Linked DNA regions of Drosophila melanogaster. The protein of the gene in region 1 interacts with the protein of each later gene in a pairwise test. Each region holds a gene or a part of one and is shown on either strand. Other genes may lie near its edges.

Evidence for each region.
Region 2: the proteins of Golgin245 (region 1) and Dus1 interact in a two-hybrid assay, tested with the Drosophila melanogaster proteins (one large-scale study listed by BioGRID).
Region 3: the proteins of Golgin245 (region 1) and CG3610 interact in a two-hybrid assay, tested with the Drosophila melanogaster proteins (one large-scale study listed by BioGRID).

Annotation. Positions count from the first base shown.
Region 1 is NT_033778.4:23,371,046-23,383,850, reverse strand, and holds Golgin245 (Golgin-245), read left to right. Parts: upstream 1-6,805; 5' UTR 6,806-6,936; coding exon 6,937-7,020; intron 7,021-7,231; coding exon 7,232-7,319; intron 7,320-7,384; coding exon 7,385-7,560; intron 7,561-7,614; coding exon 7,615-7,818; intron 7,819-7,897; coding exon 7,898-11,608; intron 11,609-11,674; coding exon 11,675-11,746; intron 11,747-11,811; coding exon 11,812-11,928; intron 11,929-11,990; coding exon 11,991-12,008; 3' UTR 12,009-12,491; downstream 12,492-12,805. Other genes in the region: yellow-d2, read right to left, coding at 1,300-2,342, 2,397-2,592; yellow-d, read right to left, coding at 3,572-3,703, 3,765-4,514, 4,569-4,985; CG13551 (uncharacterized protein), read left to right, coding at 754-803, 1,092-1,236, 5,674-5,802; Ice1 (uncharacterized protein), read right to left, coding at 12,503-12,805.
Region 2 is NT_033779.5:266,595-276,727, reverse strand, and holds the start of Dus1 (dihydrouridine synthase 1), read left to right. Parts: upstream 1-4,983; 5' UTR 4,984-5,099; intron 5,100-5,101; exon of another isoform or gene 5,102-5,413; coding exon of another isoform or gene 5,414-6,067; intron 6,068-6,121; coding exon of another isoform or gene 6,122-7,270; intron 7,271-7,338; coding exon of another isoform or gene 7,339-7,536; exon of another isoform or gene 7,537-7,640; intron 7,641-9,222; exon of another isoform or gene 9,223-10,039; coding exon of another isoform or gene 10,040-10,133. Other genes in the region: CG17078 (uncharacterized protein), read left to right, coding at 231-1,409, 1,477-1,781; CG11555 (uncharacterized protein), read right to left, coding at 2,077-2,742; mbm (mushroom body miniature), read left to right, coding at 3,094-4,173, 4,222-4,761; CG3345 (uncharacterized protein), read right to left, coding at 5,414-6,067, 6,122-7,270, 7,339-7,536; CG17075 (uncharacterized protein), read left to right, coding at 10,040-10,133.
Region 3 is NT_033777.3:14,840,573-14,849,785, forward strand, and holds CG3610 (uncharacterized protein), read left to right. Parts: upstream 1-4,470; 5' UTR 4,471-4,634; coding exon 4,635-6,101; 3' UTR 6,102-6,165; downstream 6,166-9,213.

The DNA.
Region 1 (12,805 bases):
CTGCACCACTGGCGTGGACAGCGATGCCTGCGGTGGGGATTCCGGGGGCCCGCTGAGCGCGAAGCTGCTCTTCGGGTTAAAGAAGCGGGCTTTCCTGCTCGGACTCGTCAGCTACGGGGATGCATCCTGTAGGATCTTCGAAGTGGCCACGAATGTGACGCACTACGTCGACTGGATTAAGGCAACAATCGACGAGAACTCAAGTTAAAGCGTTAAAGCGTCAAGTTAGAGTCCAAGTCGATTGAGAATTTAAATTTGTTGCTAGTAAGAAATCTGCAATTGAAATATTAGTTTACCATGATTAAGTAAACAACAGAAGAAGCTTAGTTTTATTTGCAGTATGCAAAGGGTATAAAGCGTTATCGATTAAAATCGCAAGCTCACATATTCGATAGACCACGCCGACTGTGCTCGCTCTGCCGCGAAGGTATTATTTAAGGGTGCGCCTACGGTCACTCTGCAGAAAACTTTTGTCGTCGCAAAAATGTAAGTAATGTTCAAGCGCGCCGCACTTTTCCGGCATTAAATCTAGTATGTGCATTGGGTATTCGTGTATATATTTTATACAAACAACAAACAAAGAACTGGCTAAAAATAGCGGCTCTTTTATTGCGACTTGGTTTTCGAAAAAGTTCAATGCACTCCGTTTTGTTAAGGAGACGGCTTTACAGTTACTCTTCGTAATGGAGTTTTCTCAATAAATTGTATTTTCTGCGCTTCTCTTGCAGCTAAACTACTCAAGAATCAAACAGAATGTTCGTTGTACGTCGTAGCGCATCTCGTCTGTACCCCGCTGGAGTCCAGTGAGTTTCTACCCACATTTAACCCCCGTTCATAACTACCTGCTAATTGGCTTACAAGACTTAACAGAGCACTCATATCTCATTCGCCATATTCAAAGTGTTATGTATGCCCCCAACTTACACTTTCCTCAATGTTCGATAAGATAAACAATTCCGATCCCATCGAAATCGCTTTCACCCTGCGCGCATGTGTGTGTGTGCAGTCTATGCTGACTTCACTCCACTGTTGCGTAACCGCACAAAACCAGAAGATTCTAATGGTTCCCACCGCCATTTTCCGCTCCACAGGCTGGCCAAGATGAGCGGCAGCCAGGTGGGCGACCTAGGCAGTGGCGCCGGCAAGGGAGGCGGCGGCGGTGGCTCTATCCGCGAGGCCGGCGGAGCCTTCGGCAAGCTTGAGGCTGCCCGCGAGGAGGAGTACTTCTACAAGAAGGTGAGTGACCCAGAAAACAACTTATTTCATCATTAGCTTTATTGAGCAGCAGCGGGAAGCGACTCAGTTGCAAGGCCTGCCGCTGAGCAGCTCCTGAACACCGCACTTCTGTATGCGAAAGTTTATCTCCTTGTAGTCCAGACCCGCTCCGAAGGCTTTCTGCAGCCGATTCGACAGCACCCACAGTTCCTCCTTGCCCTCGTGGTTGCGCACTATCTTGAGTCCACTGGCGAACTGCAGTCGCTGCTCATCCTCCACCAGCATGACCAGATTCTGATGGCTGTAGCCGGTGCGAATGTTCCAGGCCAAAAGGCTGGCCGGCTGGACCAGGCCGCAGATCAGAAAGCCGGACTCGCTCATGGCCGCCGCAACGCATTGACTTCCCCGCTTGCCCAGCAACTGGAACTGATCCAAGGCAGCGCTCACATCGTTCAGCCGCCAGTTGCTGCCGTTGTTGACCACATCCAACGGAATGGCCATTTGCCACTCGCTGGACAGAGAGTGGAAATACATCATCCGCCGGCCACCCAAGCCGTGGGGCGTTAGAGTGGTAGACACCGTGCCGTCCCACAGCTGGAAGCTCTCGCCTGCTATCGTGAATGTGCCGAAGTCTGGATGAGGATACGTAAACTTGTTCTCAATCCGCCACGACTGCTGGGCTGCCACGTCATACACCACAATGCCGTCTCCAATGGAGTCCGCCATGTACACGAATCCCACATCGCAGTTGTGCGGATCCAGCTCCACGGTGGGCGTGACAAAGCGACTCACGCCCTCCTTGTACAATCGCTTGGGCATCTTGTACTGATGCGCGACTTTTCCGCTTTCCAAGTCAATAGCGTACAGCTGCGGCGGGCAGTGCTGAATGAAGTCGATCTCGCCGCTGTCCAGGATCCACATGCGCCCGCACTCGTCTATCTGTGTGCGGTACACCGAAGTCAATCCATTGCAGTCGGCTCCGTGGGATTTGTGCCACTCGTAGCTGGGATAAGCCTGCAGGAGAGTCCCGTTCGGTCGCATTTCGTTTGTGACGTAGGCCAGAGAGTATGGAACGCCCTTGGCAAAACGCGGAATGGTCACGAATATCGAGGGTGTGGCATCGCCATCTAAATGAGAGAGCAAATTAGGTAGGCTTTTGTGCTGAAATGGAGAACTCCTACGCTTGTAGTAGACGTCCACATCGATGGGGATCACGCTGCCCGGATCGTATAGTCCATCTCTCAGCGCGCGCTGTCTTTCCTGCGGCGATGGAAACTCCAGCTCCAGATTGTAGGCTCCAAAGACACTTTCCAAGGCCTGGGCGGATGCTGCCAGCCAGCACCAACAGCAGACACCGAAGACAATCCAACGCTCCATGCCGTAATCCTTTCACTTTCGCGACAACTGTTCCACTTAAACACCGAGCGGATACTGCACATGCGCGTGGAGCTGCGGGCCCATGTCTTTCTAATCCAGCCAGCCACTCAGCAGGCTAAGCGGGTCAGCTTTTGTAACTGGTTTAATTGCACACCCAAAACTCTGTGCACTGAAATTCTGGTCGAGCCATGGCAGTTTGTTTACTGTTCACTGGTGTCCACCTCGGAAAACAAGTTGCTGGTGCTGGTATTGGCTAATTATGCACGCCGCCACCCATTTGGACCGATTGCTCGGTTCGTCGCCCCATTAAGTGTGATCCATTATCCAGTCAGTACAATTTAGTTCCCAATCCAGTTCCAATCGATGCTGCTGATGCCCGAAACGGTTAACGTCACTTGATGGCGCTGAATCAGGTCTAATCTTAAGCCACTGCGGCTTCTACTGGCCAGTGGGATTCGTGCGTGACTAGACTGTTGCTTGGGAGTACAGACTTGGGGCGATAACAAGTGACCCTGAACTTTGCCACAAATTGTGTGGCGCAAGAAATTTGAAAATCAAAATAATACAGTAAAGCTTCGGACGCATGCATTCATAGGCCAAACATATGTAGAAGAAACTCCAATTCTTCCATTTCTCACAATAACTTTTATCAACTTTTATAGTCAACATTTCTTTGAAAGTTTGTAACCGAAAAGTTAGCTTTCTCAAATCAGGTTCATCGTTTTATGCGCATTTATATGGTTTGTTAGCAAAGTAAATTTAAATATTTCGCTGTCGTAAAATTTAAATTATTCAAGGGAATGAGTACCACAAGATGGTTAATATTTACACGTCATATATATTTCTTAGGCTTTGCGGAATCTTTACAATTTCAGATAGGCTGTTATTAGCACTTAGGCGGAATTCGCAACGATCCCCCAGTGAAGTGCACAACAAAACTAATATTTACATATATTAATTAAGTGGATTTGCTAAGTCACTAGCTAAACACCAGGCGATTGGTTAGATCCTCGTCGTTGGAGAAGAAGACGCCGCCCTGGACATCATCCAACTTGCGGCGCAGGATGCGGAAGTTGACCTCCTTCGAGTTCAGCGTACCTGCGGCGATTTTCTAAGGGAACAATCGTAACAATCAGTTTACGGGGCACACAAAAGCCTGCTGAACATCAAACCTGGTAGCGATTGGAGAGCATCCAGAGTTCCTCCTGCCCTTCGCGGTTCCGCAACACCTTCATGCCGCTGACGAACTGCAGGTCATCGGACTTGGCTGGCAGATTGCCAAAGTTTCGCGAATTGTACGGCGAGTTCACGTTCCACACAAAGAGCTTGACGGGATTGAAGGTGACGCAGTAGACGTTGTTCCTGCCATCGATGGCGGACGCGGCGCACTCGCTCCGCCGCCTGCCTAGCAGCCTGAACTCCTCCGGCAGAGCCTCCGGCCCGTTGGCCCAGTTCTGCTGCCGGTTCAAAGCACTCAGTGGCACGGAATACTCACTTGCACTGGCCAGCGGATGGAAGTAAAGATTGCGCTTGTCGTTGTTCAGTGCAAACATGCCGTCCATCAGGTAGAAGCTCTCGCCTGCTATGGTGTGCTTGCCGTAGTCCGGATCGGGATACATAAAGCGGTTCTCAGCCCGCCATGATGTCTGCGCCTGGTGGTCGTAGACCACCAAGCCATGATAGCTCACATCGGCCACATAGATCATGGTGCGACTGCAGGTTCCCCTAGGCGGAGGATCCTGGACGAGTACATTTGGCGTGATGAAGAGCGATCCACTCGGGATGTATGTGTCGTTCGGGAAGCGGAAGCGATGCAGCAAGCGATCGGTGGCCAGGGCGAACTGCAGCAACTGCGGCGGACACAGCTGGGTGGTTCCAATCACACCCGAATCGATCACCCACATCTGGTTGCACTCGGTGATCTGGAAGAGATTCAATGTAGAAAAAACTTAGCTGTCCGAACATTTTACACTTACAGCCACTCTGAATGCGGATGTTATGCGATCGCAGTCCTCGCCGTTGGCATTGTGCCAGGAGTAGTTGGGATACGGCTGCAGCAGCGGGCCATTCCTGCCCTGCGTCGCTGAAACGGTGGCCAAGGTGTAGGGAATGCCCGTCACGAAGCGCGGAATAGTGGTGAACAGCCTGATCTGGCCATTGGCCATGTACTGTGGCTGCACATCGATGGGAGTGCCGTTCTCGGGCACCAGATTACCCGCCGCCTGAGCGTTCTCCCGATCCTGCGCCGTGGGAAATCCGAACTCCAGCTGGCCCCACTGCGTCAGCGTTTCTACAGTGCGCACGGGACGCGGTCCATTGACACCGACGCCATAGCTCTGGGCTAGCGTCAGCGAAAAGGCGATCAGCAGTATCCGGAGGGGCATCATAACCATTCCGCAGCAGAGTCGGATGGTAAATGTTCTGTTCGAACTAAGGGCAGCTGCTTATCAAGCAAGTTGGTTCCTGAGGCGTTGATAAGTGGCAGAGAGGCAGGCAGGCTGGCTGGCGGAGATCGAAGAGTGTGGACCGCGGCCTGGCTTTGTCTACTTGTTGACGACCAATTAAGAGCAAGGGTCTGTTGATATTTGGCCAGATGCGGCCTAACAATGCGGAATAATTTAATACGGTGACCCCGATCTAACGACACTTTCTTCGACGTCTCACTTCGGTAGCCAACTATCAACTGAAAACAGGCTTTTTAGCTTGGTGGCTTGAAGACGAGCAGGCAGAACGGCAGACAATGATTCAGGTTCATTGGCGGCAGGTGGTTTTCCCCCGATCTTTTTCGCACTCTTTACAGACTTCCGTCGACTGTTTGTCGTGGTCATTCAGGCGATATCCGAACTTTTTGTCTGCCCGTGTGACGGGTTCGGTCTGAAAATTGTTAACCAAATATTGTCTCTTGTAGTAAAGCCTCTTATATGGCTGGCAGCTAATGATGACAGTCGATCAATATTGATGGCAAGCTTCAGGGGTGGGCGGGCTTAGCTAACCAGCAATTAGCTTTTTACGACTTGCTAGCACTAATTGTATTTCGCACCGGCTAATCGAGAGAATCCATCATTGTTCGTTTCGTTGCAGCAAAGGGAGCAGCTGGATCGCCTTAAGAACGACCAGATCCACCAGGCTGAGTTCCACCACCAGCAGATCAAGGAGCACGAGGAGGCCATCCAGCGCCACAAGGAGTTCCTCGAGAACCTGCACAAGTGAGCGGTGATCCATCCACCGGCAGAAGGCGACCGCACGGACGGATGAACTCGAGACATTTACTAAAATGCATTTCACTCTCTTTTGTATGTTCCCAAGTGCTCACTACCACTTACCAGTAACCCAAAAATTATATATGTATTTGAAAAGTGCGTAATAAACCATCCATATTTTGAATGCTTTAACTAGAAGCTCATCTTTAGCTCGTGCTGGAACAGGTTACTAAAGTTTATGGCCGCTTCGTTACAGAACCAAAGCAATAAAGTTCGTTGATGTGTTTCTTTATAAGTTATTTTTCAATTCCTCTTCGTTAATAACTAAGGCCTTATCGCCTGCCGTTATAATCGACTAAAAATCAATTAACTTAAAAAGAATAACAACTTGTAAAAAATAGAATTTATGAAAAGAGTGTATATTTCACGTACAAGAAAACACAGTTATACGAACTATTGCGCGGTTTTTATAAATAAAGAAGTGCAATTTAAACGTATGCTGCATTATCTTCGAATAAAAACAAACTGTAGGGTGCTTAACTAAGCGTTTTTGCCCACAACATGAGGATTCCTCAAACACGAGCGGCTACTTAAAATGCTAAATCATTGCATAATTAGCAAGTTTGACCAGCTTTCATTCAGTTTTAGCGTGTAAACAGTTCATTATAGTAGTATTGTTAGAAAAAATTGAATACATCATACCTAGGAACTTTCTATATATCTATATTTAAAGAATTGAAAGGGCGTTCAACAGGCTTCCAAATATTTTTAAAGATAACCTGCGCCACCTGTGGAAAATATCTTGAACCAAGATGGTATTAAAAAACATGGAGGTAGGTATTATCAATTATAACTAATTAAATTGTTACTTTTGTGTGTATTAAATAAAAATTACATTGTACGTAACATTTATTTATGTTTATTAAAATTTTTCGTCACGTTCATAAACTTAATGACCCGCAGTTGCGTTCGTCCCTAATGAATACTGCGCTTGTTATCGATAACTCCCGAGGCTATCGGCAGTGTGACCGTTGAATGAACATCTGCAGACACGTATTTATTTAGATGTTTTTTAATTACAAATTGAATAGTGCTTAAACCAGGTAGCGCAACCAGTTGAAAAAGAGCGCAGCAGGCACTCGAAATGTTCGCCAACCTGAAGAACAAGCTGATCGAGGAGGTGAAGGCGTCGCCCTCGAAGTTCCAGCAATTTGCGAATGCTGCACAGGTATTTTTGTGTGCGGGGGCGGGGCGGTGCTTATTGCCGATGAAAAATGCAAATTGAGGAAAACATACGCACACAGACACGGAATTGCATGTGTGTCGGTGAACTGGGAAGGGGTCGCCTTCGATTGTGCGATTGTGACCCATTTCTGGGTGCACAAGTGAAAAGTGAAGTGACCAGCTGCTCATGAGTCTTCCTTGGACTTTTTTCCCAGGCCGCCGTGAGCTCATCGTCGAGCACAACACCCAATTCGGAAACGAACACCAGCAACAATGAGAACTTCTTCAGCATCACGGAGGAGGGTGAGTACGCCATGAGTCACCTGGGGTTCCTTATCTCACATATCAATCCATCTTTCACCGCGCAGACACACCTCAGAACTCGCCTTATCGCATCCAAAAGCTGCCGGCCACAAGTGCATCCGCTCTGCGCGGACGATCGACGCAATCCCTGAACGGCGCCACCTCCAGGACCCGCAAGCTCTCCAACTCGTCCATGGCCAGCGACGTGTCTTTCCGCCTGCCTACATATGAAGCGCCAGCTGTAAGTGGCCGAAAAGTCTCCGAGATTGCTTTAATTATGTGTTCTACTTTCCAGGTGTACCACTTGCAATCTGATCTGGACGAAACGAGCAGCGAGTTCGACGACTCCGCCTCAACGGCTCGTCTGGATGTGATCACCAAGGACCAGCTGTACGATGCGTACAAGAAGTCACTTGATCGTTACCACAAGTACCGCTGTCGGTACACGGATCTGGCCAAAAAGTACAAGGAACTGGAACGCGACAGCTCCAAGGCGCGGGTATCTATCTATCTGCCTATCTAATCGGTCTGCTTGATAAGCTTGTGTAACGAACATTTCCGATAATATCGCTTTGCAGTCTGTGCTGGTGGAGACGCAAGACAAGGCGCTGCGCCGAATCAGCGAGCTGAGGGAGCAGTGCACGCTGGAGCAGCAGGCCAAGGCGCATTTGGAGGAGGCTCTGCGCGTTGAGATGGACGACATGAGCTGCAAAATGCAGGCTTATCAGACGAAGCTCCAGCTGCTGGGCGAAAATCCTGAGAATATTACGGCGGCTCTGGAGAGAAGCGGCCAACAGCTGGAGTCCGAACAGCTAATCGACCTGGAGGAGTCGATCGGAAAGTCGCCCCTGTCCACCAATGGCAGTTCCGGTGTGTCCGACTTACAGAGATTACTTAAAGAGCGGGACGAGCAGCTGAAAAGTGTGACCGAAAAATACGAAGCTGTGCGCAAGCAGGAGGAGGAGAACGTGCTTCTTCTGGCCCAGACAAAGCAGGCCATCCATACGGAATTGGAGCTAAAGGACACCGAGGTGCGTAAGCTTCAGGAGAAACTCAAGCAATTGGAATCTCAGCGAGAGTCCCACAACAACGAAGTCAAGGAGCAGTTCAAAAAGCTTCAGGCCACGAAGCAGGAAGTCGATGCCAAACTTATGGCTACAGAGCACCTGCTGAACACCCTAAAAGAAAGCTATGCGATCAAGGAGCAACAGGTGGTCACACTCGAAGCGCAACTGGAAGCCATAAGGGTGGAAAACGAACAGAAAGTAAAAGATCTGCAGAAACAGAACGAAGATCGAAATACCCAAGCAAGCGATTCAAGCGAGCAACTAAAGAAACTTCAAGCAGCCGTTCAGGATGCGGAGTCCCAGCTTTTGTCCAAGGATCAGCTCTTGGAATCTCTCCGAAGCGAACAAGCAGCCAAGGAGCAGCAGCTAAAGCATCTGAAGGAGCAGTTGGGTAAACTGAAACAAGAAAACGAAAATTACTTAGATAAATTGCGAGAAAACAAGAAAAGTAGCGATTCTCAAACTAACGAAGCACAGGATCAGCAAAAGAAACTGCAAGCAGCCAAGGACGAAGCCGAATCGAAGCTCTTAGCCACGGAAGAACTTTTGCACTCCCTCAGGAATGATTATAAAGCACAGGAAGAGAAAGTCGCTTTGTTGGAAGACAAACTGAAAACTCTTTCCAAGGAAAACGATGTGAATGTAGAAAAATTGCACCACATTAATGAACAACGAGAAGCTCAAAGTACTGATTCCCAGCAGAAGATCAATGAACTACGTGCAGCTAAGGACGAAGCCGAAGCCAAACTTCTTTCCACTGAACACAGTTTGAACGCACTTCAGGCCGCACTCTCGGCCAAGGAAGAGCAAGCGGCATCCTTGGAGCAAAGCTTGAATGCGCTTAAAACCGAAAGTGAGCACAGTTTGCAGGACCTGCGCTTGCACAATGATCAGTTGCTCGAAATTGTCCAGCGTCATCAACAAAACGACTGGGAAGCTCAGCTCGCTCGGGCAAGAGAGGAATTGGCAGCCATTCAATCGCAACGGGAGCTCCATGCTCTCGAACTCGAGAAGAGCCTGGAAATGGAGCGCGAATCTGTGGCCGCTTTGAATTCCGAGAAAGCCTCCCAGGAGGAACAGCATAGGCTTAAGCTGGAACAGCTACAGCGAGAGATTCAAATACTACAAGATCAGCACGCGAACTCGGAGAGCGAAACAGTGGCTGCACTAAAAGGGCAGTTGGAGGCTCTTAGTCAGGACTTGGCCACCAGTCAGGCCAGTTTGTTGGCCAAGGAAAAGGAACTGAAAGCCAGCGGCAACAAGTTGAACAAGATAAAGAAGCAACACGAGCAGCACCAGGCGAAATCAAGCGATCAAAGCGCTCGCCTCGAAGCTCTGCAAAGTGAGTTGGCAGATCGACTGAGTCACTCTCGCCAGGTGGAGAGCGAAAAGGAGGAGCTGCAGGCACGCGTCACTGGAATTCTGGAGGAGATTGGCACCATGCAGGCGCAAATGCAACAGGTGCAAGACTCACACAGCGAGCTGGAACGGGAGAAGCGCAAGCTGGAATCCCGCATCGAGTCACTGCAGCAGGAGCAAGTGGACAGCAGTGCCCAGGACGAGAGGACCTCAGCTAAGCTGGAGGAGATCCAGAGCGAAAACACCAAGCTGGCCGAACGCAACTGTCTGCTGGAGGAGCAGACGAATCATTTGGAGTCCCAACTGCAAGCCAAACAAGACGAGATCGGCAAGATCCAGGCGAAGCTGCAACAGGTGCTCGACGAGCACTCGAAGCTGCAAAATGCCCAGGAGCTGATGGATCACGACCATCGGACGCTGCAGGATAAATGCGATGCCTACGAAAAGGATAAGCTGCTGACCAAACACACTCTGGACTGCCTGCAGTCGGCCAGTGAGGAGCTGCATAGGGTTAAGGCTAACTTAGATCGAGAACTGAAGGAGCAGGACCAACAACTGTCGGAGCTGAGAGAGCGACAAAGAGAACAGGAGCAGCAGCTGAAAGACCAAGCCGAACGATGCGCGAAATTGAAGGCCCAAAACAGCGAAAGTGAGACCCAACTGCAGGCCACGATCAGCAATCTTCGCGAGCAACTTGATGCTTATAAGCAGACAGAGCAGGGCATTCAGGAGAAACTGCAGGCTACCAATTCGTCCTACACCACGCAAATTGCCACATTGGAAGCTCGCTGGAGCGCCGCCAACTCAGACGTAGAGCGTCTTCACGAAGCCAATGATGCCCTGCAGCTGGAGATGGAACAGTTGAAGATTAAGCACGGCCAGGAACGCGAGGAGGTGAAGGAGTCAATTGCCCAGAAAAACCGTCAGGTGGTGGAGCTCCAAGAAGCCATGGCCACAAGGGATCGTCAGCTACAAGAAAAGATTGAAGCCTCCGAAAAATTGGCCAAATTCGATGAGATCCTGATCGAGAACGAGTATTTGAATAAGCACACGAAGCAATTGGAGGCCGAGTTGGCTGAGAGTGCGGAGCTGAAGGAGAAACTGAAATCCCTGCAATGTGAATTGTACGTTCTTCAGGAGAAGGCCGAGCAGCATGCCGTCCAAATGGCCGAAAAGGAAACGCAGAGTGCGACAGCAACGGCAGAGGTGTCCGAACTGAAGAAGGCCATCGAGGAACAGGCGGTGGAGCTGACCCGCCAGAAGGAGCACGCCAGCTTTGTCACCGAGCAGAGTGATGCGGTCCAAAAAGACCTTCTTCAAGCGCAGCAGCAACTCCACGATAAGCAAATCGAATTGGCAATGAGTCGGGATGAGCAGGCCTTGCTGCAGGCTGAAGCTGATGGCTTAAGGCAGGAGGTGATTTGCCTTAAGGAGCATTTATCCCCCTCAACCGACTCCGACAGCCTGCGCAGCCTGAACGAGCGACTGCAACGGGAGCTGGAGGATCTCAAGCACAAGAGCGCCGGTGCGGAGTCCAATATGCAGCAGGAGATCGAGGAGCTGCAGGCTAACAACCAGCAGATGGCGGAGCGCATCAACGAGCTGGAAACCCTGCGAGCCGGCATACAAGCCCAGCAACTCCTCGCCAGCATGGCGCCCAAAAACGTTCAGGAGGCAGCCGCTGCCGGCGAGAAGGCTGAACTGGAGTCTAAGCTCAAAGAGATTATGAACGAGGTGCAGGACGTGACGAATCGAAACCTGTTCCTGGAGCAAAAATGCGAGAACTTCCTCATACTCGAACAGTCCAACGAGCGACTTAAGCTGCAGAATGCGAAACTCTCGCGGCAACTGGATGAAACCCTGGTGAGTCCATAGCAGCGGTGCACCCACCCTTTGATTCCATTGCTGATTCCTTTCTCTTGCCGACAGGTATCCATGCAACACAGCGAGGCTGTTCCGGCCAACACGGAATTCGAGTACTTGCGCAACATCATGTTCCAGGTGGGGAATCAAACTAGATAATGTCCAAATATATACTCCCAACTAACTGATATATTCCATTTCAGTACCTAACTGGGAACACGAACAACGAGACGCTTGTCAAGGTGATATCGGCAGTGCTCAAATTTTCGCCGCAGCAGGCCCAAGTTGCACTGGAAAAGGAGCATCAGCGGCGATCGCTGGTAGGGAAGCCCATTTGAGTTCCATATTGCATCGTTAACTAACCCAATACAAACACTTGCAGCTGAACAAACTGATCTAGCATGAACTGATGGCTCTCTACGGCGGAGATTGGAACTGGGAGCCCTGCCCGGTGGCGCTTCTAGACCGCAAATGATGTCGGAGATCACAAGTACCTTATACTTATACCTCACCCTCGCGCACGGCATGGGTGCTTCCGGCTGACTCTGCAGGCATTTCGAGTAGTAGAAGCCGCTGATGTATGTGTATGCCGCATCCTAGATCCATGTTATTGTACAGTCCACGAATTAAGTATAGCTACTTCTGTCCAAATCCACGCTAAGCACTTTTGTACATTTTGATTACGCTTTCCTTTGTTTCATTCACTTGCTTGCGCTCCATGTCCCATGTCCACGACTTACCTTAACCCCAGCCTAACCTAAGTGCAATCGTTTTGTGTATTTTAGTTGTAAGTTTAAATTTGTAAAGATCCGCAGCGCAGTTGGCATTTAGTTTAATTCAAAATCTATACAATAACATACATAAATAAATAGTTACAATTCATAAAAGGGAATCTCAAATCTCTGTACGCCGCCCAGTGGCCGCCACGTGACGGAAGTGCCTCCTCCGTTTCGCAAAGCATCGAATCATGGCCCGCGTTAACGGGTCGAGCTCGTAGTTGGGCCTGTAGTCCTTCAGGGCATCCAGAGTGTACTTGAATCCGAATCTCTGCAGACGTAGGCTGGCCTTGACGGCCGCCAGTTGAACTCCGGATCGTGGCACTGCCACGAGAAGGCGCTTCAGGAAGCCTACGAAGGCGGAGATATCAGTATCCAGGGGCAGTGGCTTCAGTACCAAAGAGATGCAGTGCAGCAGAAG
Region 2 (10,133 bases), on another chromosome or scaffold:
CCGACGAATTGGGTATCTATTCATCCAGTATTCCGAATGAACGTTGCCCAGTTGGAAGTTATTAACCAGTAGACAGTCTTTAATAAGAATCTATTGGGTTTAAGCTTAGAGCATTTCTGCATTTAAAAATATAAATTTGATCAATGGGTGATATATTTATCTAGGATAGAAATTAAATAATTGTACATATTTTATTTAATTTATATCAATAATATATTTGTATTCGGTAGCTCACAAATACGGCCTGTGCGGCAACACAATTGTCCTGGAGAGCAACGGCTGCGAGATCTGCGAGGACGACGTGCTCTTGTTCGCTGCCAAGGAGAAGATTCTGTTGATGCTCCTCGCCGAGTCGGAGGAGTATGTGGTGCTTCCTCCGCCATCGCCCCTCAACCGATCCGAACGCGCCGGCAGCTCGGTGGATCCCAGCTTCTATGCCAACAACAGTATTGTGTCGAACCCGAACGATTCGACGGTCTCTAATGACGAAACCATGTCACTGTCCAGCGTAACGCCATCAAGTGCAAAGAGTTCTGCTCTATTCAAGGAGTTCTCGATACCCTGGAGCAAGGTGCCTGGGGACATAATGAAACTACTAAAGGGAAAGGGGAGTTTGGGCAAGCGGTTGAATACACTTGCGAATGTTTTGGTGGAGGCTCTCCGTGAAATATCCGCCCACATTCCCATACGGATTTTCCGGCAGGTCGCCCAACAGGCGGCTGAAAAGTACCCCGACTCCTTACTCGAAAAAGACCGCGAGGGACAGTTTATAGCCACCACTCCGCAATCGCTCATATCCAAGATGATCAACCGTAACAATGCCCTAAACAAACCCCAGAAACGCGGCAGCTCGGGAACCTTTGAGATCCACATCCCTAATAAAAAACGAAAATTCGGAGGTGGTGCTTCCAATGGTGATGCAAAATCGCTGGCTCTTAACAGGGATCTGGAGCACAAAAAGGAGTTACTAATCTCCAGCTACCGAGGCAGTTCCCCACTGGAACAGTCCGTCATAATCGAATATATGAAAGAGTGCTTTCCGTTGCAGCGCTCCTTTTTTAATAACAGCGAAAAGATCCCAGATATAACGGCCATTAAGGACAATTGGCCATATATTTTTGACAAGGCTGTGCTGTACCAGCACTTTGAGCTGCTTATGTCCATCGATCCCCGGGCTCTAGAGAAGCGCTTGGCTACCGAAAAGGATCGCTTTTTCAGGTTCTTTAAGAGTTCAAAGAACAAGAAGATCAGCTCTTTGGACGAGACCAACGCTAATTTCCTGCGTGGCATAGCGTACTATTTTAATGAGGATCCCGACTACATTTTCAAGCACCTCGAGAACAGTTCCCTTAGCAAGGAATCACTGCAAAGCACGAATCCCACAAACGCCCCCTGGGTGGCTCTAGTCAGTAAGTACACAAAAATTAATATCACTAAAAGTGTTTAAATACTTTTAAAATATTTATCTTCCCACAGATTCACCCATAACAACGGCCGACGGCGTGGAATCGCAAATGGAGGCGAAGGTCTACATTGAAGGCCAGATAATGGCCACATTCGCCGCCAAAGACGAAGACCTGCCGGACATTCTGGCCCAGTTAATCTGCTACTACTATACCTTTAACATGATGTACCCTAAGGAAGCCAATCAAACACTCGAATTTATCGTCGTTTACTTTCTGCAGCACTCGCCGGAACAAGTGCGATCGGCCAAAAAGTCTGTGACCACCAACGGCAAGTTTAACCACCTCATCGCCAAGCTTGCCAATGTACATGGCTGAGATTTCATTTGGACGATTTTTGGCTGGAACCATGGCGCAGCGAGCGCCACTTCAATCTCCTCTTGCTCCTCCCAACGGAGGAGGAGCCGAACTCTGTTTAGTTTATTTATTTTCGCCGACCTATTCCACATGTATTTGTACCACTATTTTTAAGATTTGCATAAAGTGTGTAGTAATGTTGTGTATACATTTCTGATTTGTCACCCGACAAAGAATCTTTTATTTATTTTTTAATTGAAACTTCATGTTTTGCCAGTTGGGGTTGTGAAGTCACCTAAGGGAAAATAAGCTAAACTTATTCATTATGTGGCCCTTTCTGAAACGGATTTCTCCTATTTGGTCCCTTCTTTCGATAAGGATGTGCATTATCTCGCATTTTCTGAAAGGGATGGCTACCCTTTGCTTCTTTCGCATTTGATGATTTCACATTTCGACGTGTATGATTCGAACGTTCTAATTCGAACTTGTCCTTTGTCAGCTGTCTATATTTCAAGTCCTTTAGGGCAGATTTAAGTGTTGCATTCTTTTTCGTTAAATTGAAACCCAAAGTGAGTTGCTTTCGGAAAAAGTTCCGCTCCTTAAAAGTGAAGTTCTCAACGTCCGTGGAGAGCTGTTGTTTTCTTTCCGTGGAGGGCTTCTCATCGTTGAAGGGCTCCCATGTAGTATCCTGCGACCGGTTGGCTTCTATGACATTTCGACGGTGGTTCTTCTGACGCTGCTGCATGAACTGCCTTGCGTCCTCGCTGTCCACATCCTGGTGTCCCCGGTCCGAAGAATCCGTAATTATGTCGTTCTTCACATGCTGCCAGGGCGTCGCAGTAGCTTGTGGAACGAGCGCTGGTTTCGGTTGGACATACTTCTTTGGCTTGAACTTGGTTTTGCCCCAGTCCTTGGTGCGGCTCTGCAATTGACGTTCATGGCGATCATTATCTTCTGTTTTCTTCGGATTGGTAGAATTCATAGCGTTGTTATTTGTGGTTAAACTGAATATCGTCCATCTGACCATCTGAGGTGCCAGTTTGAGAAACTATCGAATCTAGCTATATATGTTAAATCTTATAAAAACCTTCCATTGGTCACTTCACATTTTAGTCCATTACATGTATTATGTCACATATTGTCACAGTATTATATATATATATTATATTATATATAAGGTATTCAAACTTAATATACATATAATGAATAGCAGTTTTGGCTTGAAAGAAGCCACTTCGGCAGTCCCACCAACAATCGGATCTTATCGATAACCCCAATCGGCTCAACACGTGCGCCGCAACTAGGCGGTTTTATAAATATTAACAATTCCATAATGCACAACAGTGGAGGACAATCCGGCTGGAACCTTTCAGGAGAGGAAAGAAAACCGTTTTCGAATTACGGCCGCAACAATCAGCAGAGGCGCAGCAGTGGAGGCGGGGGAAGAGGCAGCCACAGCCAAAATCGCGCCGCCAATGGAAACTGGCCAGACGCTGGATCGGAAGGTGGGCAGAATGGAAACGCGTTTAACAAGTTCAGAGATCCCCAACAGGAGCTGGATAATCATCAGCCAAACAAGAGAGGGGGCCGAAGAAATAGAGGCGGTGGCGGAGGAGGTGGTGGTTGGGGTGGCAGGCGAGGGAACCGCGGCAGAGATTCCAATAGGCGTGGTGGCCGTAACAACTCGTGGCAACCTAAGGATCAGCATGTTAGTCCTGGCCAAAGTAACATGCTGTACTTCGATAATGTGGGGGACTTTACCGAAGACCCACCTCTGCCTCGATCCTCGCCTGCTCCCTCCTCTCTCAGACAGGAGAGCCTGCCACCTGTTACTTTCGCTGCGGACTTGACGCCACCACCACCTGTATCTGTTGCACCACCTGATGTGGCTGTTACGCCAGAAGAACCTACTGTGCCGCTAATCAATATCAAGAAGGAGAAAGAAATGGAGCACAAGTCAAAAATAAAGCAATTTGTCAAAGCGGAGCCCAAATCTCCTAAAAAGAAGAAGGTTAACTCCTCTAGGTCGTCATCTACTTCGGGAGAGGAGTCTGAACCCGAACCAGGGGAAATGGTAGTCAACACTAAGGCAGTGGTGGTGCCGTCCCCAAAAGCGAAGGCCATCAAAACACCTGTAGCATCAACTCCGAAACCAAAGGCTGTAAAACCAGTTTCGTCCTCCGACTCCTCAACTTCGGACAGCGACACCGATGATGAACAGAGTCATCCGCCGGCAAAGAGTAAAAAGATGGAAAAGAACACCGAGGAGGATGTTGTCTGCATGGGCTCTCAGGAGCGCCAGTTTACCATTACCGATGAGGAGGAAAGCACCGAACCTGAAGACGACAAGAAGGCCAGAAAGCAAAAAAACAAGGGTAAAACCGTGGATGTGTGTGGCATATGCGACAAGAAGGTAAATATTTTAAAAGAATGTTACCCAATTTAAAAAAATCTCTTCCAGGGCCACACCTCCTTCCAGTGTCAGATGATATGTCGTAATTGCTCCGGTAGTTATCATGGTCTCAAAAACTGTCCAAACCCGCCCAATCTAAATATTGCCATCCAGTCGTTTGTGGAGTTTGCCATGCAGCAAATGACTGCCTTTCATTGCGAGCAAGGATTTGGATTTCCTGCTGGCACAGTCACAGCTCCAGTTTCAGCAAAACCCAAAAAGGACAAAAAGGCGTCAATAAAAAAGATAAAGAAGTCTTCACAGAAAAGGATGAAGGTGGAGCCGAAAGATCATGACGAAGAAGATGACGAGGAAGATGACGACGAAGATGAAGATGACAGCAGCGAGAGCGATGACTCGGAGTCCAGCGAAGAGCCTCACCCAGCTCCTGTGTCCAAACAGAAGCGGAAACGAGGCACCAAAGCCTCCGTATCGGCCGCAGCCAGTCTACCTCCTCAAGTGTTTCCATTTCCCCTTCTAGGCGCCCCGGGCGCCCCTTTTAACTCCATGATGTATTCTTATAGAGCTCCGTTTAATTTTTCTAAATAGTTATAGCGTGAGTTAGTTGTAAAGGAACGTGAAAGATAAATACATTTTCAATACCAATGGATTTAGTTCTTTCATTTTAATATTTACGGAATTTAGGAATTACGCCTCTGTTGTTTAAAACGAGAATGAAGTTGAATTAATTTTTGTACAATACATACCGGGGAATAATATCGATAACCAGGGCAGACCTATTTATCGAAATGTATCAGCCGACGCAGCCCTGGTTTTGTGTTTTGCCAGCTGTTGCTTCCACGCTTTTGAATAAAAAATCAAATTAATAGTGTTTACTAGGAAAAACGTATGAAACTCAGTGAAAAAACTTTGCAAAAAACTTTTGGGTAAGTGTATTTACCTAAATTTATTGGTTTTCTACGATTAAATCTCAAGAGCTTTGAGTTTTTAACTAAAGGATCCAGGTGTCTGATTTTTAAAGTTATACTCAACTTATTTATAAGGAAGCATTTTAAACGATAAAAGAAAACATAGTACATAAATTTAGGACATCATATTGAAAATGAATATTCCTGGACTCTGAAGTATGTAAGTGCCTCGGAAACGAAATATACAAGTAATTTTTAGGGCTACTTCCCGCCAGAGCTAAGGCATCCTGCTTTAAGATCAATTTTCCTTGCCCTGTCTGCTTGACAGGATCCTAGGGTATGCAGAGAGCCAGGGTCTCGCGTTCCTGCTCGGTGCCGCAGGACACTGGGTGATTCTGGCCCCGGGGATCGATGCCTGGCTTGAGCATCGTCTGCTGCAGCTCCCAGATGATTTCACACGACTGGACGCTCACGGCCAGCTTAAGCACCGACTGATAGTTGAGCGGATTAACCGCATAGCTGAGGATACCCCTGGCAATCTGCTCGAACAAATAGTTCCTGTCAAGCAGAAGGAGCTCCTCTCGTACCTCCATCATACGGTTTTCAAAGTGGCACTGAATCGCTGCAAATACCAGCTTGTCCAGACCCACCAATAGATCCCGCTTAAACTTCACCAGGTAGTGCTCTATGAACACGATCTGGTTGCGATTTAGATGCGGCAGGCGCACCTTGTCCTGTATTACCTGTTCGCCGATCTGGCTGACAACCAGAGAGGCTAATGATCCCGCCGGAGTGGCCCGACGTTCGCTGCACGGGCGGACGTCCACGAACGGATGAATCTCGTAGCTGCCCACGCCAATGGTGCTGGCTACACCGCTAAATGATACATGGGAGGCGCGCGAGTGGTTTTTCGGCTGTTTGGCCATCGACGGAGGCACTTCCATGGCTTTGTGGTCTCTGGCGAATCCAATGATCTGATAAGCTTTCTGCAGGCGGAATGAATTAGTGGTATGTCAAGAGGGACTGCTATTAACACTTACGTAGTGCACATATTTCTTTGCATCGCAGACAAAATCCTTAATGCGCGAGATCAGCACCTGCAAGGCACACTCATCCTCGCTGAGATCGTCGTTTAAACCAGAAATTATGTAGTCCAGTATATATTGTGCCGCCTTATAGATGGGGTCGTCTGGTGCGAAGCTGAGAGCGGTCTGACCCTCCATGGCAATGGCTGCATTCAAGGCGTAACAAAGATCACTGTCTAACAATCCCTCAAAGGTGGCCTGATACTCATCGCAGAATGATGGCTTGCGTTCCTGAAGTGTCGACTTCTTCTTCTTGCGGCGCTTTCTTTTGGGCTGACGAGCAGTGATGGCCTTTTGAGCTCTTTCCTTAATCTCGTCCTGAATCCGTTGCCACTTTTCTCTGTAATGAGCCTTGTGCCTGTCTATAAACGCCTCTCGCTCTTTTTCCACCTCCTGCAGGAGGTATTCGATCCTACGCTGATTAGCAATTCGCTCATCAAGTCGCTTCCTCCACGACTGAATCTGGTGCTCAGTGTTCTTTACCAGCCGTTGTTTCCTCAGGATTCGCATGTTTTTGTTGAACCGATCCTTTTTGAACTGGAAGAGCTTCTTCTGTTTGATCAATAGCTTTCTCATCAAATCCTGGCACATGCTTATGTGGGCAGCTACACGCATGTTTGTCAGCATCTTGCGGTGCTCCAGCAACATATTCTGCATGGTGGCCAGGTTCTCTAAGCGCTTAAACTTCTCATATGTGATATTCAGCAGATGGACCTTTCTTTCGTGGCGTTCCTGCTCCTGTAGTTTCTTTCTGGCAAGAACCTCCTCAGTGCACTGGTGACGGGCTGCGAGATTCTGGTGATCCTTTTTTGTGATGGACTCCGCGTTGGCGATCAGCATTCGATCATATTGCTCCGACTCGCGCCGCTTGTATGCCTGCAAAATGTAGTACAACTGCGATTTGTGCAGCTCCTGGCGATGCTGATTGAAGTCCTTCAGATTGCATATTACATCGTTGTCCTGCGTTATCTCACCGTTTTCCCTCAACCGCTTCAGATTACGCTCATTGGAGTAGAACGTCTTTAGGTTGGAGTCGTGTAGCGGATTGTACTCCGGGATGTGTTCGGTAACGGAACACTCAAACTCCTGTTTACCGCTCTTGAACTGGTGGATATGTATGAATGATGATGATAAAGTAAGGTTCTAGCTGATTTTCTACTGGTAGCACTTACGTCCTGTCCGATCTTGTTCTTGGAGAATATGACCTGATTGCCGGGACATTTGAGCATTGGCAGCTTGCAATTAAGAGGGATCAGCTCCCATCCGGGTAGACTGTTGATGGGTAGTCCAGTCTTGTAGGAGATCATCTTTAGCAGGGCCGGGTTTCCGGACACCTTATTTCGCCGCGGCAGCGACAAAATATCGATCATCTTGTCGCTCTAAACTTACAGTAGCCTAAATTATTTGTGCTTAACATTTACTCTCTGAGCGTTCCAAGAAAACTAATTTCGAACAGTGCCTTATGAAAATGTAGTAGCCCCGCCTACTTTAACAATATTCTATACTTTTTCCCTGCCGATTGTATATTGACTTTAGTCAATAGTTTGCAATATAAAATATATATATTCTTAAGCAGTCTCAACAACCGTTTTATAGCTATCTGCATGAATCTGTGGTCCCATCCTAAGAGGCCGAATCGGGATCGAAGCTGTCATTACCCTGGCTCCAGCAGATTCCAGGGCGTTAGTTCGGCTTACATAAATCCTCGGTTGACTATCCTCCTCAATATTTCGCTGTCTCTATCCGGGCTTATGTTCCACCCGCTTTTTCCGACCGCTGACCCAGTTTGGCGTCCGTGGATGATTCTAGATGCGGGCATCTCGGGCATAAATATTTACCAATCGTTCGGTCCGGCGCCAACATGTCTGCGTAGGGCTTTCCTTGGAAAAGAACACCCACTCTCACTAGCCGTCTTCCATGTAAATAAAATCACATCAAGTGCTGAAATGTACTTGCTGCAGCACGTGCTCCAAATATTCTCTCGAGTGTACTTTCCATTTCATCTAACACCTAGGACACCCCTCTTACTTTCCGACCCCGCTGCCGATGGAATAAATAAAAAATGATGGTGGCATCCGAAAACAGGCAAACTTATGCTGGAAAATGAAAGGTGCGTGCCAATCGCTAGCGGTCGTCTGTGTTCCTATTTCCATTTAGCGTTTCAAAATAGTTACTTCCTCCTGTGATATGGGTCCCTAGGGATGGCTGCGTGAGTCATTCGGCTAAATGGCTAGTTAGTTTTGGGAATCAAAAGTAGTGCTTTAACTTTTATTGAGACAACGTTTATAGACATGTGGTACACACAATGATAATATAATAAGTGGCAGGCTGTTTACCACATTCGTTGAATGCAACTAAGCAGACAGTTATTAACAATATGTCTTGGCCACATATCAATTCAGGCCTTTGACTTGTAACGTAAATTCTGATATAGAATTTTAAGTAAATTGAGTGTGGGTGCCCTTTTTCTTAAAACCCCCTTGGTGGGCCAATGAAAATCCTCTCCCGCTAATAATTTTCCTATGACTTACAATACCGGCAAAACCGCACACAGCTGTCCTCAACTCTCCCTTTCACCCTCCTCTGGTTGCTTGCCACTATAGATTGAAAAGCGTCGTCGTTCAACTGGTAGGCTTTTTGTTTTCAATCAGACGAAGCTTTCGGTTCGGTGTTTGAGAGCGACTTCGAACCACGGGAGAGAAATTGAGCTTAGAACACTAGCTTACATAGTTCACTGTTTTTTAAACCCATCTGTTTCTGTTTGACAACAGAAAAAAGCAACTCCGTTGCTTTAGCAATGCGAAATGGTCGTCAAACCTGGTCGAACATAAGGGAGCACTGAAAAAAATTCTACTTGAAAATGTAAATGTAATATATTATATAAAACTTATACGAATTTATGGAATTCAGCATTATATATAAAGAAGTACGTTTCACTACAGTTTCCACTATCAGTTTTGCACTTAATGTCGTTATTTTTCTGAGTGCTGCAGCACCGTTCGTTTTAAATCAACGATACGAGCTTCCAAGTTGGTTACTCTGTGCGGAGTTGTTTCGTTTGGTCGCGTCGGTCGAAGGAGTCGGTTGTTCGTTTTCGTGCGCTCAAGTAACGGTAAGCGCGAATGCCTTCGCCAGTTCTACTGTTATTTTACCTCGGGACGGCTATGCGTCCCTGCGTCCCTGCGCTTTCCTGTCTCTGTGTATGTGTGGGAGACAAACAAATAGCAAAACGAGAAGGAAAACCATAGAGAGGAATTCCGCAAAAAGGGGGGTGGCGAACATCCTGTTTTTCTGCGCCCGCTGCCAGAGTAACCACCCCCTCTCAGGGACGACAACAACAAAGTGGACTTAAGCGAAAAACGAAAATAAATATACGTACGAACCTATAACTGCGCCATTTGTACTTCGCAACAACAAATGAAAATATATAACTATAAAATTGTGTGTATGTGTGTGACGGACGGAGAGAACAAAATCAACATAAAAAACTGTTGTGGAGAAGATTATTTATAAAAAGCTTCGTCCGTAAAAATAAGCCAATCGAAGGATGCAATATTAAATGGCAGGCAAAGTGAAGTAGTGCAAATTTAAAAGAAGACAATAAAAAGGCAACAACATTTAATTGGACTCTAAAGCTACAACTTCAAAACTGTTTAAGGATGCCTAATACACTTTTGTAATCCGCAATCAAACCATTAAAACATGCTGCAAAATCGGTTGGGAATTATATGAATTCTTCCCATTTCTGGATTGCATCATTCGTCGAGGGCGTGGTCTAGCATTAAATGTAATGTACAGCTGTCAAGCAGGTCCTTTCATCATTCACACATCATCATCATCATCAGAGCCATTATCTCCAGGCCCAATAACACAATGTCCACAACAGCAGCTGGACTAAAGTCGGGACCCAAAGGAGCCTACGGCGTCAGGTCGGAGACGGATCACATCATAACCATAAGCACTGCCG
Region 3 (9,213 bases), on another chromosome or scaffold:
CAGCCAATCGAAGTCCGTACAGTGTGTGTCATTTTGTTTTGACACATTTTTAAAGCCAACATATACAACAATGGCTTTGTAAAAACGCCGTGCGCAGCTAAAATTGATTTTTAATTATTTACTACGAAACTAATTTCAACGGAGACTTTGAAACAAATGAATTTTACTTGTTTATAAGCCACAAGAAATAGAATCGATTTTGAAAGGCCATTTGACTTAACCTCTTCATATTTCCCATGTGTAATTTGATATGTCAGTTCATCATTGTCAATCGAGGAACATTTAATTAAAGGCGATGTCAATCCACATTCGAACACTAAATTATCTGGCCCCTGTCAACCATAATTGAGCGCTGAGCTGCACCTGTTGAGGCCAATTTTCAATCGGGCAACAGTTTTGGCCAACAGACAGCCAACCTGACCCACTCGTGTCAAAGGCTTCTCAGAATACCGGAGCATGTGATTCCAAAGCTCCGATACCAAAGGCCGTACATCTCGGTGCAACAGGCAAATCAAGTATCCGCACCGTGCGCCCCATGTGGCTCGGGAAACGTGCTCGGGTTCGTGATCTCGGACGGCTGAATGCTGGGCATTAAAAATTGATTGTGATGGAAATGACAAAGGCACATTCAGCCCACCACTACACGTGCAAAAAGAAATACCATTCACACACACGGTTCTGGTCCGATGAATTTAATCTATTTCGAATGGATATGCTTAGATATTAAAAGTTACATGTGTTGTTACAGAAAAGTCTTATACCACTCGAATAGCCTGTTTTGACAATATAAAATGTAGACTGTTGATAACTTTAATAACAATTGTTGCTTATATAAGATGAAACTTTTTCCCTGTGCACTCGATTCAACATCCCAAACACGCGACCACAAATGAAAGTGTATCAATTTTATTTGCCATTCGGAAATGCCAAAATGTGGCTGTTCGGCTCGATGGAGCGACATCAACATAACTCCGGGCAACAAAGAAAGCGGGCAATTTGGCAAAAGCCACAAGGAAACAAAAACCCTGACATTGCCCCCATCGATTTGCATTTTGCCCAGAGAATGAACGGCTGTTTCGTGTGTGTGGATGACGAATGTGCGTGCGATTGGCATCGCATTTGCTGTTGCCGCTGCTATTACCCATACGCACTGTGATCACCCGAAAATACTGAAGGGGGCAAACTGAAAGTGGCAGGGCGACCGGTAATTGGAAAATCATCCATTACAACAGGCTAATGGAAACTCGGTAAAATTGTCGCTAAATTCGATTAAGTGTGTAAGCATCGAGACTTTGATATCGATGAAATGCTTCTCTACCCATCCTCGCATATCATCCGCCCCTCCGAAACCCACTTGTTTGTATCGCTGTTTTGGGTTTGACTGATTGCCTCCGTTGGCCTTTTTGCGCCCCAGTCTGGTTTCTGGCCACCGCCGCAGTCAGCCCGCGCATAATTATGTAACTCAATTTGTTGGCAGGCCCGGGCAAAAAGGCCATTATTTATAAACACAATTTAATTAAAATTCATTCTGTGTCTTGAACCAGAAACATCCATAGAAGCATAACGTTAGCATACAAAGCACACAACAATTTATGAATCGGAGGATTGCCTTCTCCTGGTTTAAGAAGTAACAAGATTTAACAATAAATGAGGTGCTCTGGAATATCTGCTGACCTGCATAATGATTTTGTTCCTTAACAAATCTATCATCGGGCTACCAATAAGCTAAATGTATTTGATAGATTTGTTTAAGTGTTTTCCTAGTCTTCGTAGACAAATTATTTTCTGAATTTTCAATTTATTCATGGTTCCTTTTATGGAATTAATAGATAGATATTTTTTATTCATTGAATAGACGAAACATCTGTGCAAAAAATTTCCATTTCAACTTCCTAATAAGAATTTTCCTGCTTTGTAAGAAGCTCCAAAACATGAAACTATGAGTAGCAAATAAATTCCTGAAAGGCAAATTGATATTTTCATTTTCAATAAAACATAAACGCGACCTCAGGTCGTGCCCCAAGTGAACCGTCTGTTTGTTTGTATGGAAATTATATGAAAATTGCACTTGAAACTTTGTCTTGAGCTGTCTGCCACTTGCAGTTGAAAGTTTTTCCGTATTGCTGCCGTCCTGCATCTTTTTTCCGGAAATTATTGATAGTCCCGTCTAAAGTTACGAAGAAATTTCAATATTAAATGGATTCAAAGTTAAAGTGTATAAATAAAATAAAATCATCTGCACAAATCCAGCAGTCAAGTGCCTTCGAACTAGCCACGGGGGCCAAAGGGTCAAGGGGATAAAGTTTCGTTCATGTGGTTGCCCAGTGGAATACAAGAAACCCTATATGACCACTATATATGCACGGTACATGGCGATTCAAGCACTTTGCCATTGTGTACATTCCTCACTTGTCCGACATTCCAGGTCAACAAATAGCGAAAGGCTTGCCTTCGCTTGAAAAGGGTTCCCTAAATCAGTAGATATCAAAGGATGTTACAGGTGAAATAATATCTCGACACTACTTCTAACCTAACGTAGGTAGTATGTAGCTTGATTTAAAATCTAAATAAAACCCTACCCTCTCCTTTTTTTTAAGCATTTACATTCGAGACACATAAATGTTAAATACCAATGAAAAGCCCCGCGAAAAGTTCGTTGAACCAGACATGGCAAGTTTCTCTCCGAAGATGGTTTGATTAATTGACGATGACCTGGCTAAAGACTTAATGCCGAACTTCCGTGCGAGTGGCAGATATACTTATTATATCAATTAAGGTAAGCAACAATGCTTTCTATTGTCCCCCCCAGTCCAGCGATTCTGCTGTCTCATAGGGTCGGACCGCCACTTTCCATCATCCATCCAACTTAATGTGCAATAATGAGTGTCATGTAATGCCAGACGCGTTCGATTCGAATTGCCAACCAACCAACAAACAAACAAAACTGAACTCAACTCAAACAGCAGCTGCATTGGCGGCTAAAGGAAAATAAAAGAGAAAAACCCAATGCAGCATTAGCAACGACAACAAATTAACATTTTTCAAAACTTTAAAGCCCCGACATGCGTTGACACTTTCGGGGAAAATTGCGTACAATTTCAAATGCAGGCACAAAACTTTACGCGTAATTACGACACTGGGGAAAACAGGAGGAAAATATAAATGGCAATAAGGGGGGGGGGGGGGGCACAAAAAAAAAACAAATAAATAAAACAAACCGCTGGCAAATCGCGTTCGCTGCGCCGTTGACAGTTGTAAAATGGAAAGGTTATCCGGACCCTGGTCGGCAAAAACCATGGACAGCCAACAAATGCGTCGAGGAAAGTGCCTTCGGAAGCTGCAGCTGCTACTGGAGCTACTCATGTCCCATTCCCCATGCCCCCCCGCCACGAACTCAATCCCCTCCTGCCACAGAGACTCCGCCAATGAGCTTCTGTCGTGGACAGTGACTGATGGTCTGGGAGAGCTCCGCTCTTTTCTGCCTCCAATGATTACGATGATGATGAAGACGGCGATGACAGGGCAGCATTTAACCAGCGCTCAGCAGTTAGATAACTATATATAAATTATGGAAGCCAGACGATAAAAATCCTCGACAGATCGCTCTAGAACGTCTACCATAGTTTATAATTCTAAATATACGTATGTTGAAAATGTTTGATTGCAATTGTGAACAAATTATAATTGGTTTTATCTTATTTTCCAATATACTCAGTATTCTGTAAATAATTGACTTTTATTTAAATACCTTTTTAGCTCAATAGCTGTTTTAAATTCAGGAGAAATATTATTTCTATTGAGTGCAATGCATTCGAGCTCAGAAACTCAATCGTTTAGCTCGGTTGTGATTTTCCATACAAATTCGTATGCAAATTCAAAGGTATATATAGCCAATAGTCGGGGCAACAACGCGCTCGCAAGGGAAGCACTTGAGCCTTACTTTGATGCACATATCCCCATTAAGTTGGCCCCCGTCGAGCTTGTGGCTCCCAATGCGGCCATGCAGTAGGTGAGAGAGAGAGAGAGATCTCTTGGCCTCTTGGCCCAGAACCCACTCAAATATGCTAATCCACTGGAAGTCCACACAGACCTCCACAGACAGCCCACAGTAGAGTGCATGTTTCTGAGCTTCAGGAAAAGTAGTTGCATAAAGCTACAATGCCTTTCCAGAATCTCACAGAGGAAGTAATTTGAAATTACGGAAGGACAGGCTTTCAATTACGGTAAGCTAACTTACCGATATAAAGGGAACATTCTGTAATCGTGGGCAATTGACAGATTCTGTCAATGACAGAAAATCAAGAAAAGTGGCTTTATATTCGCAGCTTAAAAATATTAGCCAGCTCTTATCTGTTTCACTTAATTCTTCATAACATACTTGTAATTTGAATTAACCTGAATATTATTTTCTAAACTTATTTATCCAGCTGAAAACTGTCGTTTTTTAATATCTGAAAATTTTCTAGCAGTCTTCAGTTAGTCAGTAGATTTCGTTAGGTTACTAGCACAAAAAAAAAACATTTTGAGTGAACTAATACCACTCAAAACGCCTTGACATATCACATATTTCATTCCCAGTTAAATTTTCCTAAGTAATTTCTTTAAAAGGAAGTGGTTTGTTTTCTTGAACCACGATGGAAAATCTCCAACCGGAGTCGGATCGCGTTGGCCATATTGTCTGGGATGAACCGGGAGCCTCGATTTTTGCCACCGCCTCCCAGGAGCCCGTACCGAATCTTCTGACCGAGTTCAAACCAATGCCGAAGGGCGAGGACGACTGTGTTTCTGATAAGGATGTGTGCCGCATTCTTACACAGTCGTCTGTCGCGGAGAGCTCATTGTTCCGAATGGTCAAACACCAGGTGGACGAAGTGGCCGCCATGCTCAACAGTCACCTGCATCCGCGCCAACGGAAGGAGCAAACCGATGTGGATGTCACCCTCGGTGTAGCAAGGGAACTGGCTCGCCAGCAGGTGGAGGCCAGTAGATGCCTTCAACTTCATCGCAATGTGGAAAATTTGAGGGATCTCGAGATGGAAGTGGCCCGTGCCCACACAGCGTTGGCTGTCAAGAACAAGATCACCAACAATATCAAACAAACGGTGGAAGATAAGCAGCGGGAGCGGGCCGAAGCTTTGGCGGAACAGCGAGCCGTGGAAAAGGAGCTGAAGGAGGAGAAGCAAAGAAGGGCTCAGAAGGCAGCCGTGTTTCGTAGAGATCTAATGGCCCAGATTACCGAGGGGCGTACCAAGCGGATACAAGATCATCGAATAGCTGTGGCCGAGGGTCGTCAAGAGCTAAAGGAATGCAAGGAGATAGTGGAGCAGGGAATCCTAAAGGATGCAGTTACAAAGGCGCAGCAGCGCAAGGTGCTCCTCGAATCCCTAGACCAATCGGCAGCCATGTTGAAGCAAACCCGCGAGGCCTACGCTCTGGCCCAAAAGAATAAGCCCGAGAGAGGACTCCTTGATGCCCTGGGACCCGTTACGGCGGCCTATGTGTCAAAGGCACGGAAACGACGCCTTGATGAGATCGAGGCCAGGGACATTAATGCCGCTCGGCTGGGCTTCCAGCTCAGCCAGATCAAGCACGATCTGGAGTCCCGAGATCAAGTCATCACCAGTCTGCTAATCCGCGAGCACAAGGCCAAGGAGAACGCGAAGGCCTTGGAACAGGCTAGAACCAAAATGGCCAAGAAGCAGGAGATTCGCGAACAGCTCCTCAGCCAGCGGGAAGAGCAGAAGTTCTTCCGAGATAAGGGTGTGCAGGATGCCCTGGTCATGCCCAAGGATCCCATGTGCTTCGGCGAACGACAGTATCGAATGCAAGTGGCCCAGCGGGAGAACACCCGGCGCTTGGATGTCCAATGCTACCAGGACATGGCCCACATGGTCGTGGAGGCCAAGAATAACAGGAAAGCCGCTGCCCAGGAGGTGGTTGACATTGTACAGGAGGTCTACAACCAACAGAATCGCCAGGATGAGCTTGTGGCTATTGAGCGGATGAAGCTGCTCTCCAAGCAGCCACCTGAAGTTCTTTCAGCGCTCAAGAAATCCATTCTCACCGAAGAGGAGATCAAGTCTTTAAACCTTAAGAAGTAGTTAATGAGTTTTCATTTAATACGCGCTAGATGCCCGTATTAAGGCTTGTAGAAACAAAAAATACAAAAAAGTACTTTTTGTTTTTTTCTTCGGGTTATTATTAAACCTACGCCCCCCTGGATGTTGGCTATTATTTATCAAGTATACTACCTCATGTGAAGCAGCCCACTGGCACAGGATGTGCTTAATTTTCCATTTTGCTGCTCTGCACTTTTAAATAGACTTTGCTGGCGCTGCCGGGATGGCAAATGAAATTCACTTTCTTATCCATTCTTTGGCCAAGCTTTTGCAGCAGGTCAGGTTTCCAGGTTTCGTACTCGAGCAACCGGTTTACCGACATTGCAGCTGGAAATTTGTTTACAATAATACGGTTCGAACGCACGCAGATGGGAGCGTAAGTGCACTTTGAAACCGGGCTTACATACATTTCCTTTACTTTCCATTTCTGGACTCATTAGCCGGCTGCCGGAGGAGACAGGTTTATATTTCATAACTGGCTGGCGAAGAAGGCTCAAGAATGTTGGCAAAGTCAGTTTTTTGGCAACCATTTTGGAGCACTCTCTTGACGACCTGCGGAAACTTTCCCTGGCAATAACTTTGGCTCCAAGTTTCAGCTTCAATGTGCAGAAAAAAAGATATATTTATGCTTTCAGTACACTGTAAACTATCGAAAGAAACTCTTTTTGGGTGCTGCGAGCTCAACTAGTTCTATAAACTGTAGTCATACTATTAAAATGAAACATGCTAGTTGTACTAACCAGGAAATTAGGGAAATTCTTGTTAGATCAATGCTTGGTTTCTTTCAGTGCAGACTTATAGAAGCGACCAGCACAATCACAACCCAGTTTCTGTTTCAACTTAAGTCTGCTGAATGGTGTGAGGTTGTTTTGTCTTTTCGACTCTGGTCTGGTCATAGAGGAGCAGCTTGGTTGGCAAACTTTTTATGCCGAAACTTTTTTTTTGGGCCAGATCTTCAAGTTGGCCAAAAAGATGTGAAGTTGTGTGCACAGGCGTGTCTGCAGCTCTTCCACCTGGAAGAGCGTTACTGGCTCTAATAGGAGTTGAGTCGTCGTGTGGCTGCAAATGTGTTTGCATTGCTATGAAATTGGAAACGAGATCTGCAAAAGTTGAGTAATTGAGCTGATTCTGCTTCGTTGGTCACTCGAATCGAAGAACCTTTCCTCCAACGTATTCATGCCACAACAATCATCTGGGGGCCCCATTTTCAAGCCAACCCAGAAAGGGGGAACATTGAGAGAAAATGGGTTGGTAAATAAAGCCTAGGCCAATAAACATTTTATACATTAAATTAAATTATTAATTTTAAGCTACACCTCATCATTCTGGGTTATCCTAATATGCTGCCTTGACATGAGAGTTGCACTGATCTTCCCTTAATTATTGTGACTAAAATTGTAATATAGAATATGCATTTATTTATTATTTATGACTTTTTCCTCTCTGCAGAGGCAGACCAAAAAAGGGAACAATGAAAGACAGGCTCTGAGACATTGAATGCGAGTCGGAGAACAAAGCAATAAAAGGCCCGAGAAGTGGGTTGTTGTTAGCTGTTTGCTTGCCATGCTGGGAATGGAAAATGGAAATGCTAAGGAAAATGAAGGAAATGCAATGTCGTTAACATGGCTCGTAGGTTTGGCTTGCTAGCTCGGTTGGCTGGCGGGTGGAAATAAGTCAGGTTGGCAGCCAGTATACGCATATGCTTGACACGGAAAATGCAGTGGCATTGCATACTAATGTGCCCAATGCCGAAAGACAAACGGGGGAAATAGATGCTCATAAAAATTACTTTTGGTGGTTATAAAATGCCATCAGCCACTTCCATTTAAAAGCGGACTCTTGATCTAAAAGCCCACGCAAAATGCAGCCCACAGATATCGGTCGAAGTGGCTGAAGTAGCATATATCTCACGATTATCACGTGGGCGCCGAGTGAAAATTGCGTGCAATTATCCAAAGATGATATCAGCATTGGCTGCCGTAAATATATGCGATCCATTATTATGGCCCTTGGGGCAGCGATTTGTTTGTGTGCTTTCTTAACGCTGCGATTCGAACTGGTTTCAAGCCAATCGACTGCTATAAATAAACAATTATTTTTAATGCAAAGCCAGCGAATGCGACCGCAGCAGACACTATCCATGGTATGTCGCCATAGAGAATAATAATGGTAAGTAAATAAATAAAATTATTGTGGTCATTTAGCAGACGCACTGGAATAGTGAAAATAAAGTTACACGTAGTGTTTGGTTTAACTGTAATAATAATAACAATAATATCTGCTTATATTTAAGGTAATTAAGGTTTTTTAGCAGAGGTATTAAAAGCCTTTTTTATTTTAACTTACTGGACTTCTTATGATCCTTTCATAATTATTAGTTAGTAAGTGGATGTAAGTGACATTTGCCATACAGACCTGGTTGAGTTACAATAAGCGCTTAACAAATAGATTACAAAGTTGCTTTAGTTTTATCGGTTAACCCTTGTAACCGACGACATTTCGTAAGATTTGAACTTCTACCTTTAGATAGCTAATGTATCCGTTGGCTGTGCGAATCAATAATTAAATGGTTAAGTGCAGCTCAAGCTTATTCATCTGTGGCTTACTGGCCCCAGTCAGATACGAGATACACTCACGTACACCAGATAGAGACAATTCAATTTTAGCCAGCTTATGGCCATTGTTATGGCCATTATATCTAGCTAACATTTCAACCGCTGACCGTTGGCGTTGGCGAAACAAAATGAAATAAAACGCTCCACACTCGACTTGACTTGGGCTGGCATTCAATAAGAATTTCAGTCCATTCGGGGACATATTGCAGCCAGCTGATGCTACGAAAAATAAAAAATATTGAAAAATAGAGAAAGAAAAGTGTGCGCAATAATAATTGTAACAGCAACTGCCAACAAATCAATAACAACTCACACTTTGGTCCACTTCGAAGCTAATGCCCTACAAAATTGTTACGATCTGTGGGCCTTGAGCTAAAAAACAAGGAATGAGAATCCAACACATTGCTACTTATTTTCTGAACTGATTTCAATGATTCTGATTCATTTATTCTAAAAAGTTCATTGAAACTCTTAAAGTT